2 linked regions of the Bombyx mori genome follow. The protein of the gene in region 2 interacts with the protein of the main gene of each other region in a pairwise test. Links are inferred from orthologs where the notes say so. Each region holds a gene or a part of one and is shown on either strand. Other genes may lie near its edges. The genes, in order: vascular endothelial growth factor receptor 1 and protein sprint.

What was found.
Region 1: the proteins of protein sprint (region 2) and vascular endothelial growth factor receptor 1 interact in a two-hybrid assay, tested with the Drosophila melanogaster proteins (2 studies listed by BioGRID). The link is inferred for Bombyx mori from reciprocal best matches to the Drosophila melanogaster genes spri and Pvr.

What each region holds. Positions count from the first base shown.
Region 1 is NC_085119.1:9,929,943-9,939,052, forward strand, and holds part of vascular endothelial growth factor receptor 1, read right to left. Parts: intron 6,597-9,110; exon of another isoform or gene 6,468-6,596; coding exon of another isoform or gene 6,449-6,467; intron 6,329-6,448; coding exon 5,987-6,328; intron 5,906-5,986; coding exon 5,793-5,905; intron 5,483-5,792; coding exon 5,323-5,482; coding exon of another isoform or gene 5,319-5,322; intron 5,035-5,318; coding exon of another isoform or gene 4,902-5,034; intron 4,476-4,901; coding exon 4,336-4,475; intron 3,573-4,335; coding exon 3,404-3,572; intron 2,674-3,403; coding exon 2,556-2,673; intron 2,326-2,555; coding exon 2,147-2,325; intron 1,455-2,146; coding exon 1,315-1,454; intron 963-1,314; coding exon 674-962; intron 1-673.
Region 2 is NC_085124.1:6,168,012-6,177,221, forward strand, and holds the start of protein sprint, read right to left. Parts: upstream 5,881-9,210; 5' UTR 5,767-5,880; coding exon 5,740-5,766; exon of another isoform or gene 5,618-5,739; intron 1-5,617. UniProt on the Drosophila melanogaster protein: Potential Ras effector protein. May function as a guanine nucleotide exchange (GEF), by exchanging bound GDP for free GTP.

The sequences.
Region 1 (9,110 bases), on a different chromosome or scaffold from region 2:
GACGTTGCTAACACGAACCCTAGCAAGAGCCGTGCTTCGCAGAATCTACCACCGCATCGGAAACGCGACTCACTGAGAAGATCCGGCGAGAAACTCAGTGGGCTGTGTCTGAGGGTTCGTTTTTTTTTCCCACAAAAATATCCTTGCTCAAGAATTTAATGAACCCAAAAATTAGATAAATTAAGGAAGGGATATGAGATATGGCAACAATCGACTTAAGCTCACAAGAGGCCCTCACATGGATACCAGAACACCTATTACTATATATACTACTAGTAGTATGAAATCTACTCTGAAATCGTGCAATAGTGTGAATTCGGCCTTCCTCAAAATCTATTTGAACCGATGAAACGACATATGAACAGGTTCTCTAACGCAAAGCATACACCCAATCTTATTTAGCTTTGTATAGTTAACGCAAAATTTTGATAATGACCCATACGTCCTTTATGAATCGCAAGCCCGAAGTTATCCTTTAAAGGAAGCCTAAGATGAAAACATTTGACAGGTCAGATCAGGATTAACCTAAAAATATGAATATGCATAAGAGAATAACAGAATCAAAATTAAAATTTACAGTATTTGTGGCCAAACTGTGTACTTTGTCACATATTTATTTTTTATTTAACTTTCAAAACATTCACAATTTTTTCAAATATTGATATCTTCTCACCTATGTCATCCAATATATTACCGTCGCTTCCCAACCAAGAAACATTATCATAATCGTAAACCGAAGCCAAGCATTTCTTTCTGGCACTGTCTTTTTCTGAATACCAATTTTCTAATGGCTGTAATATACCAAATCCATTGTTTATTTCATAAACTAAAAGTGTGCTGCTGTCAAAATATTCCCCCTTGGAGTTGTGTGCATTACAAGTTATGACACCAGAAGCTTGCACTGATATTTTGAGATAATCCGTTTTCGCATACAAAGACTCTTGCTCTGATTTCGTGGATGACTGAAAGTTTAAAATTTGAGAATCAAAATCCAGCGGTATTTACGCGGATAAATCATAGCTATAAATTTTAAATGTATTACGTACGAAAATGAAGGATACTTAAAATTTAAAGTATTACTCCTTCTTTAATCCAAAATATATCAGGAATAAAAAATACCATCAGCATTACAGTTAACTTGTCTAAAACTATTAACTACTAGTAATAGCATGCTATGTGTACTTATTATTGCAATTGTAACTCACAATTCAATTTAAAACGTTCATTATAAATCAATCTGCTATTATTATTTACACTTTTTTCGTGATCAACTAACTATCTATTTATGTATATATTAAAAATTAGTTTTATTACCAGTTCATGCTCCTCGTCATTAGAAAAAATCCAGGTTACGTCTGGTAAAGGATAACCTGTAACTTTGCACGCAAAGTTCATCTCTGAATTCTCAAGACGTTTAATGATCCTATTATTTAACAGTTTAGCTTCAGGTTTTGCTGTAACGTTTCAATTAAATAAGCATAAACGAACAATATTCATTTAAATACATGAGCTTAGTTACTAGTAGTATGGATAGGTACCACCAACATGCCTACTTCTATCGCAGTCCATTTATATGTACGGGTTTTTAGGGTGAGAAAATCGTTATACATACAATATAATTGAGACTTCGATCATTATGTCTCGAGGTGGGTGGCGGTCTGTAGGTACTAGCAAATTGCGGTCATCTTCATAATGAGTAAGGCCATATGTGCTATTTATTTATTAGTCTGTTATAAGAAGATTTTCAAAAACTGAAACGTTTATAGCAATACATACTTTATTGACTTTACAGCCGGTACTGTTTATGATCGAATTAACTAAACATCAACGATTTCACAATATAATTGAGGCCACTTCAGTTTTAAAAGTTTGACCCCGGCTATGTAGATTATTTTGATATTCGACTGAAAAAACGCTGTTGAAAACGTATTTTCATAACGTCGATGTCCTCAATATGAAATAAGGCCATATAAATAACAAATTTCGACAGTCTTATAAAGTTCCGATAGCTTATTATGAAAAGGACCGCAGTGGTTTATTTACATGTAGGTACATTGTTATAGTTGTGAACTTGAGAACGACCTTTTTTTACTGAAAAATGCTAAGGCCGTAACTTATGTTTTTTATTATTATTTTCGATACTTACTGAAAACTCTAAGATCCACGGTATAATTCTTCGTCAAGTATTTATTCTCCGCTACTAAAGTATAGTTGGCAATGTCGGTCAGTTTCAAATCGTTAATACGAAGTTTAGGATCTCCATTAGCTAATGTGGTTACGTTGTATTTCAAATCATTTGATGGTAAATATTTATCGTTTTTTAAGCTGAAAAAAAAAACGAAGAATAAAAATAGTATCGCTATTTTGTGGCCTTTGTGACTTTTTCCATATACAATTGACAACATAGCAAATACAGTATTTTTAGAGTAGCTATTTACTAGCTATTTAATATTAAGAATAAAATCAATTTCAAGATGTTTAATATTAATATCACCAAATCCCAATTACCTTTATCTGAAAAAATGGTTTAATTTGAAATAGATGTTTTTACTCACAAATGTGTCCTTTCAACTGGGGGATACGCTTCAATCTCAATGACAATATTAATGGATTTATTTGCATTTCCCATAAGTTTACCTTTCGCTAGATCTCTCAGCGATAAAAAAGGTTTTTCTGTAACATAATTTAATATGAAAATATGTAAAACTGAAGCACGATTTGTATTATAAAACAATACCGCTGATATAATTGTGTTCAAGTAGTTATTGTTCTAAACCTTAAAACAAAAGGCGTTTGAGGCAGGAATGTAAAGTGGAATGGGTATTTAAACTAAACGATTTTATTAATTACTCGATAAATGGTGTTATCATTATTTCTGAATCGCGTTATAGATTTGTTACATGGTTTAATGTATAAATGGATTTGCAAGCGACCACAACAGCTGACGCAAACTAACTTGCGGATACCTATGGTTTAAATACTTCAATAACTTATAAAGTAATTTATTTTAGAAGCATTTAAACATAGAATATCAGTTAAAAACTAGAAATTACGAGAAAGAACTAGAATTTACTGGTGGTAGCACCACTTGTGAGTCCGCGCGGGTAGGTACCATCACCCCGCCTGTTTCTGCCGTGAAGCAGTCATGCGTTTCGGTTTGAAGGGTGAGGAAGCCGTTGTTGAGCAAGTCCACCCCACTAAACAATAAAACAAAAAAACAAAAAACAAAAAAAATTAAAGTCATAAATTTAATTTTACCATAAATTATGATAATTTATTTAAATTTCAGATTGGCTATTTATTTTTTTATATTTGGATATTTATTTAATTTATTTAAATTTCAGATTTATGGCTAGCGGCTACATATGCTACCATTTTTAGTAGAAAATAAGAATGATATTACCTAAAAATATTTTCCTGAACTCATCTTTCTCCTCTCCACAAGTATTCGTTAAAAGGCAGGTGTATACTCCATTGTGTTTCTTGGTAGCATTTCGGATAGTAATATTCTGATAAACTATTGAACCAGTAGTCGTAGCTTCAGTCTTGACCACAGATACTTCCACTGAGTCCTGTGAACGGCAATTTTTAAAGTTGGAATTTTAAATTAGACACGCATATCGAAAGCAAAATAGTTTTCCATGAGCAAAAATTATAAATACAATGCCAATTGACTGTCAACTAATTAATTACCCGATCGTATAGTTTCGTGAATGTCAAATCTGGCAAATGCGAATAATGGAACTTTAGAGGTGTATCGCGATGGATAATTGTTCACTTTCTATTAATATTAAACTCTCGGTCCAACTGGTGAGGCTACCAGAGTCCATAGACATCAATCTGAGTTGTATGTTTTCAAGTAGGCATCGTAATAAACGGTAGTCTTTTTGACGTGTACAACAATATTTTTTATTTTTTTTTATTTATTTATTACATTGATGGGTGGACGAGCGCACAGCCTACCTGGTTTTAAGTAGTTACCGAAACTCATAGACATCTATAACGTAAACGTGCCGCCACCCACTTTGAGATATGATTTCTAAGGTCTCAAATATAGTTACAACGGCCGCCCCACCCTTCAAACCGAAACGCATTACTGCTTCACGACTGAAATAGACAGGGCGGTGATCCCTACCCGTGCGGACAAATGTTTGAATTTATAAATTAATCAACTATACAATGAGGTGGTTAAATTATTTTTTATATGTACTTTCATCAGTTCTGAGATTAGTCACTTAACATCTTAATGCTTTGTTATCTCCACATTTTAAGTTCAATTCGTAAAAACATTATAGGTAAATCTTTCCATAGTATTTTGGTTTGTACTAGACTCACATTGGTAACTTCAGGAGGATACTTCCATTTGAAATTAATTAATCCATCATTTGGTACACGGCAGTGTATTGTAAATGTTTCACCTTCTAAAAATTGTTTATGTCCACCTGCAACCTTTGGTTTTGGAGGTTTTTTAATATCTGAAAAGAACACATACGGTAATTTGATATCAACCTGAACACTGATCATATGTATTCATGTACTACAATGCTAATAAAAAGAAATGTCTAAACTAACACATCAGCAACAAATCACAAAAAAATAACATATATTTCTTCATCTTTCAGAAGAATTGGATAATTGAAAACAAAGTAAAAAAAAACAACGTAGAAAACTAAACTTAAATATAAAGAAGTATAGCAGTGTTAATTTGTTAGTGTATATACAGACGTTGACATGCAAAATAACCACACAGATGTAGAAACCAAAAAAAGTATAGGATTTAGGAAGTAGTCAAGCTGTAAGCTAGTAATACACAGAACACGGATAACTTAAACCATTCCAGTGAATAAAACCATTACATCTCGCTACCTGTTAGGTGACATCAAGATAGTAGCGCTACTTACTACGTATGAGTTTCCACTTAGATTGATTTCCACGTTGTCCGGTGCAATTGAAACCAGACCTACCACACGAACTCATTACAAATCCAATCTTTGGATAGTATTTTATGGATTCTTGATTCTCTCTACTCGTAGGCTAGTGATTATTTCCAATAAATAATATAGATGTGGTTAGTTGATATTTCGTAGAAGTAAGTATAATGTTTTCCTATTTTATGATTTTTAATTGTCCTAACTGTTTGTCGTTTTGATGCGTAAATAATCATAAAAATGAAAAACATTCGTGCCACCATCACGAGAAAACGAAGTAATGTTTAAATTACGTAGAGTAAATAAATCGACTATTTAAAAAACACTTTTAAATAATTTTCTCGTGAATGTGACTAATAATTTTGATTGGATCAAACAGCATCTATTCACCTACGTTTTGAAACATAAATATATTTCTCAATCCGTGTTTCTCCTCTTACAAATTCGCATAGTACAAAGCTAATGATTTGATCATCTGAGGGCATAGAGTTCTCAGGTACAAAACCAATTTTTGGACTGTATCGAAATGACGGGTAGTAATAGTCTGGAATTTCCTGAATATTAAAATGTTGTTAAATATTACACCATGATTTGAAAAGTATTTATTATTATCATGCTTTAATGACTCAATCAGCAACAAGCGGTATTATTTACTTCACATGCATTCTACTCAAGAGTTTTTGCATTATCATTGAATTATTATATGCAAAGAGAAAGCAAAAACGCAAAGCAATTAATTACTAAATGAGTTCTTGTAGTAACACCCGTTTGATATTTCCTGATATGAATTTACAGAATTGGTTTTTCTTTTGTCACGGACAGATTTTACACATTATGACTTCTGCAAAATTTATCCATACATACCGATGAAAGCGTGACATTGACGTCTGGTGTTGTCGGTCTACATTCTATTACAATCTTAGAACAGTCTCTTGGTACAACAATTTCTCTCATCGGTGCAATCAGACTATCTGATCCTAAAATATTCATTGGATCATTGAAATTTAACTTTTCACATTACTTAATTGATAATTTTTGTAATAAAACTATTTTCTCACCCTCAACGTAAATGTAAATAAAAGAAGCGTTCTCTGTGTTTCTCGGCTCTTCTATGAGATTATTTAAGGTAAAGTTTGTTTTTACATCATCAAAACATGCATAATAGCCTATAGCGTATTCGTCGACGTTATATATGTTTATAATTGTCTCAAAAGGGTACTCGGAATCGGATGTCTGTCTCATCGTTTTTATTGGTTTGTTTTTAGGTAATTCTTCCGGTGTTTCTTGTTGTTTGAATTCAAGCGGGTTTTTTCCTCTGCATGTGAGTGAAAAATTTTGTCCCTTGTGCAATATAAATTCACTCCTACATGGAGTTATTTTTGGGCCATTGGGGTGAAAATCTGGAAACGACAACCATTTGTTATTTTTAAGTTGAAAGTTCAACTCAAATTCAACTTAAAAATCAACTAGATAATTTAGCTAGCCAATTATTTTCCCTAACATAAAATATAGATACAGACTACAACATAGAACACTCATTTTTATATAACGTTTTGAATGTATTATAAATGGACGGAATCAATATTTTACATATTCTATAACGTAAATTATACAAAAACCAATTTGTCAATGTTCGAAGGGTCGTGTCATGTAGGTAGAGTTTAACAGTTAATCATGTTACGAAGATAAACACAGTTGTTCCTAACAAGGTTGAGTTTTATGTTTCGATTCACGCATCGATGGAACAATATATCATCATGGAGGTGGAAGGGATAAAATAAACTGAATAAACGATAGACTAATGCCCATCTACTTAAATTAAATATTAACCAACGATAATGTTTGCGTAAAACTTATATTTTTGGATATGATAATGATACGAATAAACACGGGAATGATGACCAAGACTTAAGTGATAAGATGGTACTTTGGGAAAAAAAATCAAAACATCCTGACATAGAATTACCAAAATTCACTTCAGTGCGTTAGAGTCCGTCAATATAGGACAAGACACCTAACTACGTCGATCGACAGTAACACTATTAATTAGCAGAATTCGTATACAGGGTGTGACAAAGGCGCGGTCAACATTCGGAAAATTAATCTTACCAGGAGAACGAAAAATGTACGTCGTATTACACAGTTCCCTGTTAATAATAATGGTATCAAAATTGGATAAGGCGATCAATTAAGTGATTAGGATCCCGTCGTTTCACTTATCAACAAAATTGGTAGCCGTCTCATCACATTAAGTTCGCAGTGACGTCTTTCTGGTATAATATAAAATAACAATGTATTTCACCATCTTTTTTTCCCTACCTAATCTAATACCTAATCGTTAATAGTCTTAAGAGGCTATTCCACTTTGTGCGGACCGGTAGGTAGACATACGGACTCAATCTGAGAGAATTGCTAACACTAGCCACTAGTTAGCCCTATCAAGAGCAGTGCTACACTGAAACAATCTGACTTAGGTGTTAAAAATTCGTCATTTTTAAATGAAGCATAATCTTGAACTGTAATGAAATTTTAGCACGATTTCCCGATTCACCCGGACGATGCCTGGGCGACCAATAGTTAAAGTATAAACTTGCGCACTAATATTTTATTACTTAGAACAAAAAAAACCGAAACAGTAGCACTGCTTATGGCAAGTTTTTAAATATTAAAATATCATCAAGTGTATATATAGTGTATTTCAGTTATTTTCTTCCAAAACCAAGTGTTAACCAATTGTAACAAACTGTGAATTTTTAACAAATTAACTATATAGTACGAGTATTATTAGATTGCCAGCTTTGAACCGCGACTTCTTATGTATTTTTCTGTACACCTAACAACATTGAAATGGCACGATCACCGATTGAGTTGTTAAGACGTGAAAGCGTTATAAACCAAGAAACTTACTTTCGTGGTAGGGTGTCTTGTGAATCTCCTCAGGTAAGTACCTACCAACCTAGTATATTGACCGTAAAGACCGTAAATCGGTTTGAAGAGTGGGACAGCGCTATAATACGATGGTGAGATTTCGTCCTCATTTTTAAAGGTGAAGTATTCACGTGTGATGTCTAAAGGCTCAGGTAACCACTAAAAATCAGGTAGGCCGTGAGCTCATTTTCTTTTTGCCTGGGTGATTATTATCTATCTATATGTTTAAACGTATATATACATATTAGTCTGTGGTTCCTATAACACAGGAAATCGTAATTTTGGGCCAGATTACTGTGCCTTACTGGTTCCAGTTTTTTTTTTTGCATTTTTTTAGATATTAATGGAATGACCGTAGCCCAATTGTCTAAATTTAGCATTTAAATATTACATAGCACTGTCGCAAAGAATAGATATAGATTGGTTAAGAATTTTTACGTTTCCGAAATGCGGATTTTAAAAACTGCGGCCAGCACCAGTAGAAACTTATTTTACAGAATTTCAACGGAACTGGGCCCTTCTTGTCGCGCACCTCAGGTTTTTCGATTGATTGATTTTCGTAGTTTATTTGTTTGATGATGCATTAAAAAATGTGTTATTCCTGATCCGTAAAACATTTTGGAGCTGATTAACGACAAAGGGAAGATCTTCCACCGAGCGGATGATATTGCTCGGTAGACCGACGGTCCGAATGTTGTTGTTCGGAACTTGTATATATGCGCTTTATCTTGAAAATGTCGTAAGCGAGATTCAGGCATCTGTCAATTATCTTGCTTTGTATGATGGCTACCCGCCACAACTTAATACGAAAAACTAGCAATGCGGCCGGTTAACCGTCAAAACTTATTCCAGTTTGATGAGAGCAATAAATCTCGACTCGAATAAGGGAAGTTCTCGGCCAATATCGGTTGGTCACGCGAAACGATTACGTTAACTGGGTAGTTATGGTTCGTTCGGCTTACCAAACTGTTCATAGATATTGATAGCATATAAACAGATCATAAAAATAACGTAACAAACGGTATCTAATACATATCTTGAATACTTGTGATATTACAGTACACAGATAAATATAATGTTCGAGATAAATGAAGCAAGTTTTTGTTTTTTGTGTTATTTACTTCGTCACTTAATGTCATTGACCTGAGTTTGGGTTTTTTTTCTCGTCATTGAAACAGAAGATTTGGTCACTATTACTAGATAAGCGCCATCTTATATCGAACAAAGTTTTGAATTTGAGTTTGTACGCTTATG
Region 2 (9,210 bases):
TGTCTTATTTTGCGACGACACAAAGGTCTTCTATGGCAAGGGCTTAATACCAAACTAAAAGATAATCTTCATTATTTCTTCAGACTAAACAAGTTGATTGTTTAAAAGTCCAGTCATTATGCAGATATTTATGAATGTCTAGAAAGTGACTCATTAGAACTGAATGAATATAAACCGCAAGCACACGCACGTGTTCACAGTTCATGTATTCAATGTAGTTTACGCAACAATGAAACAGTGATAAAAGTGATATTGATCAGACAGAATGCCGATGTACCGTACAAAATTAGGACACCGGGTTTGTTTTGATAACATTTTGTTTTTAGATTCGAAAAACCATAGCTCTGATTCCCGCGTACTGACTTGAAGACAGGTAAGATCGATACAGAAGCAAATAGCAATATAAATATTTAAACAGAAGGTCTTATATGATAATTGTTTGGCTGTTAATCAGAAGATCGAGGCAATGCAATATCTAGCGCCAACTCTTATCTATCAGCTCCGATAATCGTTTAGTGAGAACGAGAGCTTACCTTCAGCTATAAATTAATTTAAAAAACCTTCAAGATTATCATAATATCTGATCAGAAGGACGGCCTCCTTTTGGAAGTGAACGGAGAAGCATTAATTACAAGTCATAATATTCTGGTATAGCCTTGGATAACAAATGAACAACATTATGTGTAGGATTATGTGGGCGTTTCGCGAATCTATTATCCAAAGTGGATGCGTTGGTAGTGTTCGAAGATTCATCCAGTGACCTGCTTCTTCAACTAGATACAATGAACCTTGGCCTAGACCTAAGAAGTCCGCTATACAGATCGTGGACGTGACTTACTACGTAAACGACTATCAATACGACTTGCATTATTTCGTTCACGATTCACAAGAATGACGAAACGAGCGTCGGACTGTACCTAAGAGAAATTATGTTGTTACCAATTAATAATTCTGTCACAGTATTACAAAAAACGTATAAAACAACTATCGCATAATGGTTTAGAGTTCTAATATTTTAATAGAGTCTTAAATAGACATAAAACGTTGGCACCGTATGGATTACGGTCGCCGAAGCAGCCATTAAACATCAATAACCAAAATTTAAATTCAACGAAATGCTTTACTAGATGTTGTAAGGCAAGGTGATGAGCTCAAGGATGTTAAAATCTCTAACGTGATAACTATTCAAATAATGGAACACACGAGATCACCACTTTACCTAAGTGAAGGGTACCCGATGTGGGACTCTCAAACGTCGATCAGTATTCAAGTCTCGTCGCTCACAGGAAGGCAAAAGCCACAATGTGTCCGAAGACTTCCGACTTCTGCCCAATATTTTTGTTATTGATACTCGAGAAATTTAATTTTATAAGCGTTCTCTATGTCCTTTTGGAAATCATTGCGATGATTTTTTTAATTAGTTATTTCTCTATGTCATAGAGTCTATTGATTATTATTTGTTGAATAAAATTATTCAGATTTATGATACTTTGCTTTGTACAGGTTAGGTTTATAAAATAAAATAAAAAATATTCGAAATAAAATGCATAGCGTTTCGAGGATTTTTTTATATGTTTTATCAAAGCCTCAGTACAAAGAGTATCACTTTGCGCAAAAACAATTCAGAGGCCAAATGGGGTTTCATTTTTAATACTTATCGCTAACCAGAGGATCGGAACAAGCAATTTTTTACCGGAATTTTTGCACAAAGTGAATCGAGCACAACTTAACGCCACGATCTTATTTATTACATGTATCAATCGCCTTATCAATATCTGAGTAGCTATAAGCGGTGGCAGTTAAATGATTAGAATAGTAAGAGGAGCTATGATTTAAGATAATTCTTATTTTTGCCGTGGTTTGGATTGTCGTGAACCAAATGTGAAAATTCACGTCAAGTCTGATGTCTCCAAGCTTTTTTAGAATGGTAGGTTTTTATCTCTGTTTATTTAAAGTGTTCTGATTACTTATGATGATATTATTGTACTGAGGTCAAATCAACTGCGTATAGTAATTGAGATGCAACTCAGACTGAGCATACAAACACGACAAGTTTACACAAGCAAACGATGCCTATGTTACCTACAGGTTTTGGATGCCAATGACAAGAATACTGATGTATTCAACTGTATCGTATTTAAATTTACATATCAATTTGTTTGTTTTTTCCTTTTAACTATACTAAAAATCAATTATTTATTTTGTATTGTTGGATAGTAACATAGGATTCAAGTACCGGTCAGTTGTAATAGCCCAAAATGTACATTAATGGCGTAGACACATTTGTTTCCAATATCCTACTATCTTAGAGCTTGAAATAGCCTTGAAATATCACAAATAAGATGGATATGGTTTTTGTAAAATAATCCTATTCCATATTCATGAAGTTAAAGTAGTAATCACGGTAAATCGCTCGGAAAAAATAAGCTTTTACTTATTATGAAAAATATACAATAAAAACCAACAAAGCTATGTAAATTGTTCAAAAATTTTAAGCGATAGTAGTTTTTGTTAGTGTTAAGTGTAGTTATCGTCTTTATTTTGAATTCGAATAAGTGGATTACATCCGAATTTAAATCAATGATTTTAAATTTGAATTAACGAAGAGGGAAAATATCATTGACATAGATATCGTGAGAGATAGATAAGAGCTAAAAGATTATTTAACCGTAATCTGAAACATCCCCATTAAATTAAGCCCATTAAGCAACGATTAATGAATCTATTATCACATACATCTATGTCAACGGACCACAAACATCTCAAAATAAAAGCAATTCCTTGTGTTGAGATTAAATAATACATAAAACAAATAGAATCTGCTTCGCTAACCCGAATGACTCAACCAGGATAAAACAATAAAATATCTAACGCAGCGTGAAAGCGATTGATTTCTTCATAGGGGTCGCCCGTTCACCGTCTTACTTACTAATGGCCCTGATATTCTATAAAAAAGCCCAAGTTGAAATTCTCTCATAAATAGGTCAAATAGTAGGGAGCATGACGAATCGCTTCCATCACTCTTTGATGTCCCAAGTGGGAGTTGATAAGATTTACACTTAACCACATTAAAGTTTTGATGAATACGATGATATATATTATGTAAGAGCAGAATTGCTATCCCGATAAGCACAAACTAAGATATTTATAGATGGCCTAATAGGCAGACATTAATGAATAGCAATCATTTAAAATATCAGTTAGGACCGTAAATAGGTAATTACATTCAGGGAGCATTCCAAGAATTTGGGCACATGGTACTTTGGCGGTCAGTCGCACCCTATGAAGTTGAACCGCTATTCGCAATATAAGGAGCTGTTCGAAACAATGGGTCTCCTTATATTCCGTACCGACCTTAGTCGTGCACATTAGTGAATGTTACGCCATATAAAAGAGGTAATTAAAAACTCATGAACGGGAGTGCTAGCAGTCGAGCAAGAAACGCAATTAGAGATACCATTAGGCGAACAGCATACAGTAATCGCGATAGTGGCTTACTTGTTATGCTTTTTTGCCGGAATAAAAGTTGGGAATGTCTATAAAATATTACGATAAACAATTGCGTATTCGAATAGAGAATCGTTTGCAGAGTCACGGCATTTCATAATCACGATCGGTCACATTCCATCGCTGCGGCGGTGCAACGCCCTAGGATAGACCTGCTACGGTTACTGATGATGCCAGAATTATATACAAACAGCAGAAAGACGCTACCTACGTTCGGTGAGTAAATAACACGAGTAGGTGGGTATTTAATGAAAGGTTATACGAAAACGTGAACATGTGGGCATAGCTAATGAAAAAGTGAATGTAGCACTCAAAGTTAACGGATGATAATTCATCCTCTTCAATGTCAAAAACGTAAAACTGTTTTTATGGACAGAAAAGTATAAAGAAATGCTAAGCCCGGATTGATCTAGATTAGTCTAGATATAGAAATATGTGCGAATCCAGTTTAGAAGTTTCCATCAAAACCCGTTAGCATTGCAAAATAATGCACGTGCAAAAAAGAGACCGTTTACGCAATCGGTAGCTAGTTATCAAAGATAGTTGCCTCCGCTAATAGAAACACAAAATATAAGATCTCGAGCCGCTGACTAACGGTACTGTGGCCCGGCACTCTGTGATCGCATTGTTTTGGCCAATTTAAATTTATGGGACGGGTTGAGTATGTGGGTAGTCATTAGTCAAGTTAGAGTTGCTTTGGTAATGTTCTGCTAGTCGATCGACTTCGATGGCATTTTGTTTTGATTTTCTATAGTGAAAATTCAGCTATACGCTCAACGGACGATTTGTTTTATCAAAATATAAAATATTTTAAAATACCCAATTAGAAAATAACCATTATAGAGCTATCAAAATTATGTCGCTTTTAGAATGACACTTTCAATTGTGTAACTAATGCCATCATCACTGAATTAGGTACCTTTTATGGTTTCTACAACTTCAAATTAGTTTGACCGAAATCGAAGAATAATTTTTGAACACCTTGTTTTTAATAAGCAACAAAATGAAATGATCGGACGAACGAACGTAATAGTGAAATGTTTCGGATTATAATCGCTAATGGTCAATACGAAACGACAGATTTCATTTATGGCACAGATTAACAAGTCATATAATTTATTAATAATAATAATAATGGAAACTAGATTAAAAATGATGTATTGTTAATCCGACATGCAATGAAATATCGTTGCAAATCTCAATTCGTAAAGGGGAATGCCAATGTCAACGACCGACACCCTATGAGCACAACAATAGGACAGATCGAAAAAAGGGCCTTAAGCCATTACGGGTCCCAATTACGGGCTCCACTGGTAGCCCAACATCACTGATATAGAATTAAATACAAACGGCACGCGTCACCTTCGTTACAATATTTTCAAACCTGTTTGGATGAAATATTAAGAAGCTTCTAATACATAATCCCAAGCTAATTCAAATTGTTAACCGTTACGTTTTTCTATGCCTTGTTTTGCAATCAATATAGCTCTAGATATATTTTTAATGCAAAATGCCGAGAGTTGAAGTAACGCTAGCATCAAATCAAATTTGTACCACATTAAGCTTACGATTCAAGGGCTCGGTTAACCAGAGCCTGGGGAGAAACACGGCGATCAATTTCAAGGGCCCCCTCGCCTTATATTCAAATCCCTTCTTTGTCTATCTTATTTCATATACTCGGCTATTCACAACAAGCGAAGGCAACTCGTCATAGTTATAATAGGCCTCAATCAATACACTGAATGTTACACCGCAAAGTCGGTAGAGTTTGTTTATCGAACTCCATTATCAATTTTTACCTCATTTTATGTGTGCTATCTCTAATGGATTTTTTTCACATTTTCCTGTAATTATAATTCCATTACGTCCAAAATATTCAACTGTAATAGGTATATAATTTAAAAAAAATTAGATTTAAGTAATCTTAATATCAACAAATCAATTCTAAATTAAAATGCATTATAAACTGCCATTTTATACACAACAACGTGTCCCAGTAGATAACACTTATCAGCCATGATAAAGCAACTCTGTTGACGTTACCATTAAGAAATAATTCTAACAAGAAATTGCAAAAAAGATAAATACAACAAAAAAAAAAGATACATACTTGGAACTACAACAAAACAATCCAACGGATATTCACTGATAAAAAACACTACGCAACATCATAGAGCAAATAATAAAAATAATAAAAAATAACAGCGCAAGTGTAGTGAAACAAACAATTACCGAACGTTCTTCGTAAACTTTTTTCATACACTATTCACAGATCGACGACTATATCAAATTTTCTCGTGAAATTTGATATGTGTACAAGAAAAAAAAGCGTATCTACAAAGAGACGACGCTCGCCGCGCAAACCCGGCTACGACTGACGTTAGCGCGCGTTGGCTAGGCTCGCTCTGGTCGTGTCCCACTCTACGCATGTCCGGAACAATATACCTTCATCATTTCCACATTCATTCCCTTTTTGGACCTCGTCGTCTACTTTCCCATCATTATCAATGATAATTAAGCCCTGTATCTCGAGTTTTGCAATAGCATATTTTCTTTGTGTCAAATAAAGTATCTTGTGTTTCTTCCGTTTATTGTGAATTTCATTTCATTAAGAAGCTGTGGAGTCTCGGTAATTTTAGTTTTTTTTTTTAATAAGTCTACGTTGATATTCATCAAGAAAACTAGTATTTCTTGTTACGGCGTTGTTGTAATTCATGCAAGGCCGTTCATGATTGCATTGCATTACCGCTATTAAGGCAGTCGGCGTTTTTATATGGAAGTCACAAAGCTTCAGATTTATAATAGTCTTGAAGATTAAAATATATTAAATATTAAGGATACAGGTTAATGTGAAACTATGAACTACGGTTGGGAAATCGGAAAATAATTCAATAAAACAATATCTAACTTAAGACTGCAACTTTTTTGTTTGCTGTTATGAATTTTCAGTATTCGATTTGAAAGTAGTTCTACAATTTTTTTATTTTTATTGCTTTCATGGCTGCACCACCCTTCAAACCGAAACCCATTACTGCTTCAGGGCAGAAATAGGCAGGGTAGTGGTACCTACCCGAGCGGACTAACAAGACGTCCTTGTAGGGACGTCCAAGTAGGCAGCGGCTTGTCTCTGCCCCTGGCATTGCTGACGTCCATGAGCGACGGTGACTACTTACCATCAGTTGGGCCGGATGCTCGTCTGCCTACAAAGGCAATAAAAAAAAACGTCCTACCACCAATAATTATGCAAACTATAATATTGCGGGTTTGATTTTTTATTACACGATGTTATTCCTTCACCGTGGAAGTCAATCGTGACATAGCATTTTGTTTGTAACCAATATAAGCATTTGTGATCTCATTTAAATTAGCAATTTAAATACAAAATATCAATTACAGTTTCCTACTGTCGTCGCTACAGTGACGACAACGTAACAACCAATTCCATGAACGGGTGATACCTCAATGATACTTTCATAACTCTGTACTTTCACAACGACATATATGGGACATCAAACGAAAGTGACATTGTCATATTATGTCCACAGTGAACAATGGGAACGGCACGAAAGTATTTTGTTTCGAGATAATTCGTTTCGGAAAGTGAATAGATTAAAGTTTATACATTTTTTTTTATTGCCCTTGTAGGCAGACGAGCATACGGCCCACCTGATGGTGAGTGGTTACCGTCGCCCATGGACCTCAGCAATGCCAGGGGCAGAGCCAGGCCGCTGCCTACCGCTTAATACTCTCCACAAGCCTCTTTTAAAGAATGTCATAGCGCTCGGGAAGCACCGTGGTGGGGAGCTCATTCCATAGACGGATATACGTGGTAAAAAAGACCCCTGGAAACGAACGAAACATTTTTACTGTTTATGTATTCATAGATTTGTTTGTTACAAAATAGTTGTGTGTTCAAGTTTCGCTAGTTTTCACTCCGGGAACGGGTTGATTACAAATCCACTTTAGAATGTTTTTTTGTAAATTGAGACAGCTGTGTTCTAGTAGGTAAAAGTCTGGTTTTTTTTGTTGCTTAGATTGGTGGACGAGCTCACAGCCCACCTGGTGTTAAGTGGTTACCGGAGCCCATACACATCTACAACGTAAATGCGCCACTCTTCTTGATAGGTATAAGTTCTAAGGTCTCAAGTATAGTTACAACGTCTGCCCTACCCTTCAAACGGAAACGCATTGCTGCTTCACGGAAGAAATAGGCAGGGTGGTGGTACCTACCAGTGGACTCACAAGAGGTCCTACCACCAGTAAAGAGGTGCACTCGTATCGCGTGATGCAACTATACTGAGCTCCGAGTCACTCCGAGACTGAGGCGAGTATCATTTCTAAATAAATATGTATTTAAGTAGATGCATAATACGTGCTCTCATATGTTCCCGTTTGACCTATAACGGTTATCTATACATCTATACATATAAATAAAATTGGAGTGTCTGTTTGTAATATTGAAATAACCGTTTTTTATAATTTTTTTATTAATATATATATATATATATACGGTACATAAACCAAAATAACATTTTTTACAATTTTTGTCTATCTTTCTGTCTGTTTATTCCGGCTAATCTCAGGAACGGCTGGACCGATTTTGACGGGTCTTTCACTGATAGGTAGCTGATGATATAAAGAGTAACTTAGGCTACTTTTTTAGCCTAGCTTCGCTCCCGCGGCGTCACCCGCGGTACGACAATAACCGCGGGCAACATCGCGGGACTCAACAATCAATAATAAAATTTAATGTTTCCGAACCGAAGCGAGGGTGGGTCGCTAGTTTCAAATATAATTGAGACTTTCATCTCGAATCACTTTGTAAACTGTACGTCTATTGCTTGTTGACTTATCAAAGTAATAAAAATATATAAATAAAAACCTATTTTTATTGTGTATTATTTATGTATTAAAGTACTTAGACCTCTTATTAGAAGAGGGTAGTGACATTGACGTGTGATTAGCTACAGCGACAGCGACATTATATCATTCAAAAAAATAGAAAATAATACAACTCGGATAGTTCTTGATAACTATGTAGTAGCTTGGTAAATAGCGTGCGAACGTGTAGAACAAGTGTATTTTGAAAGTGCGGGCACGATCGCTACGACATTGAACTGTGCGTTGCGTTACTTAATAACGAGATTGTTGTTTCAAGTTTGAATTGTTTTAAGGTGTCAAAAGTGACCTTTTCGCCAATTTAAATTTAATTTTAAGGAAAACTGCCACTTGTTTTTATACAAAAAATTGTTTTATTTTATTTTATTTATTTATTTATATACACACAAAAAAGAGGACATAGTACAGAGTAATAGGAAAATTATGTACATCAAAAAATTGTATTTGTGATGGAAAAATAATAATTTTGATTCATGTACATAAATTAAATTTAAATTTGGTAGCAAATTTCTTGAGTACAATAGTTTAATTACTATACTAGCTTTTGCCCGCGACTTCGTCCGCGTGGAATAGTCCACAAATAATGCCTTATTTTAGAACAAATTTGGTTAGCATAAAAAACGTTATAGTGAGCCAACCTTAACATATAAACATATTCTGTCGCGGACTTTTTTTTAGATCTTTTAAAGGGGCACAATTCTGTCATACATTATTTTAGCGGAACTTTAATCGTTTCTGCAGCGCATGCAGTGGAAGCTCTCAAAGGGTATAAATAGTCCCGATTTTGAAACATTCTTTATTGGT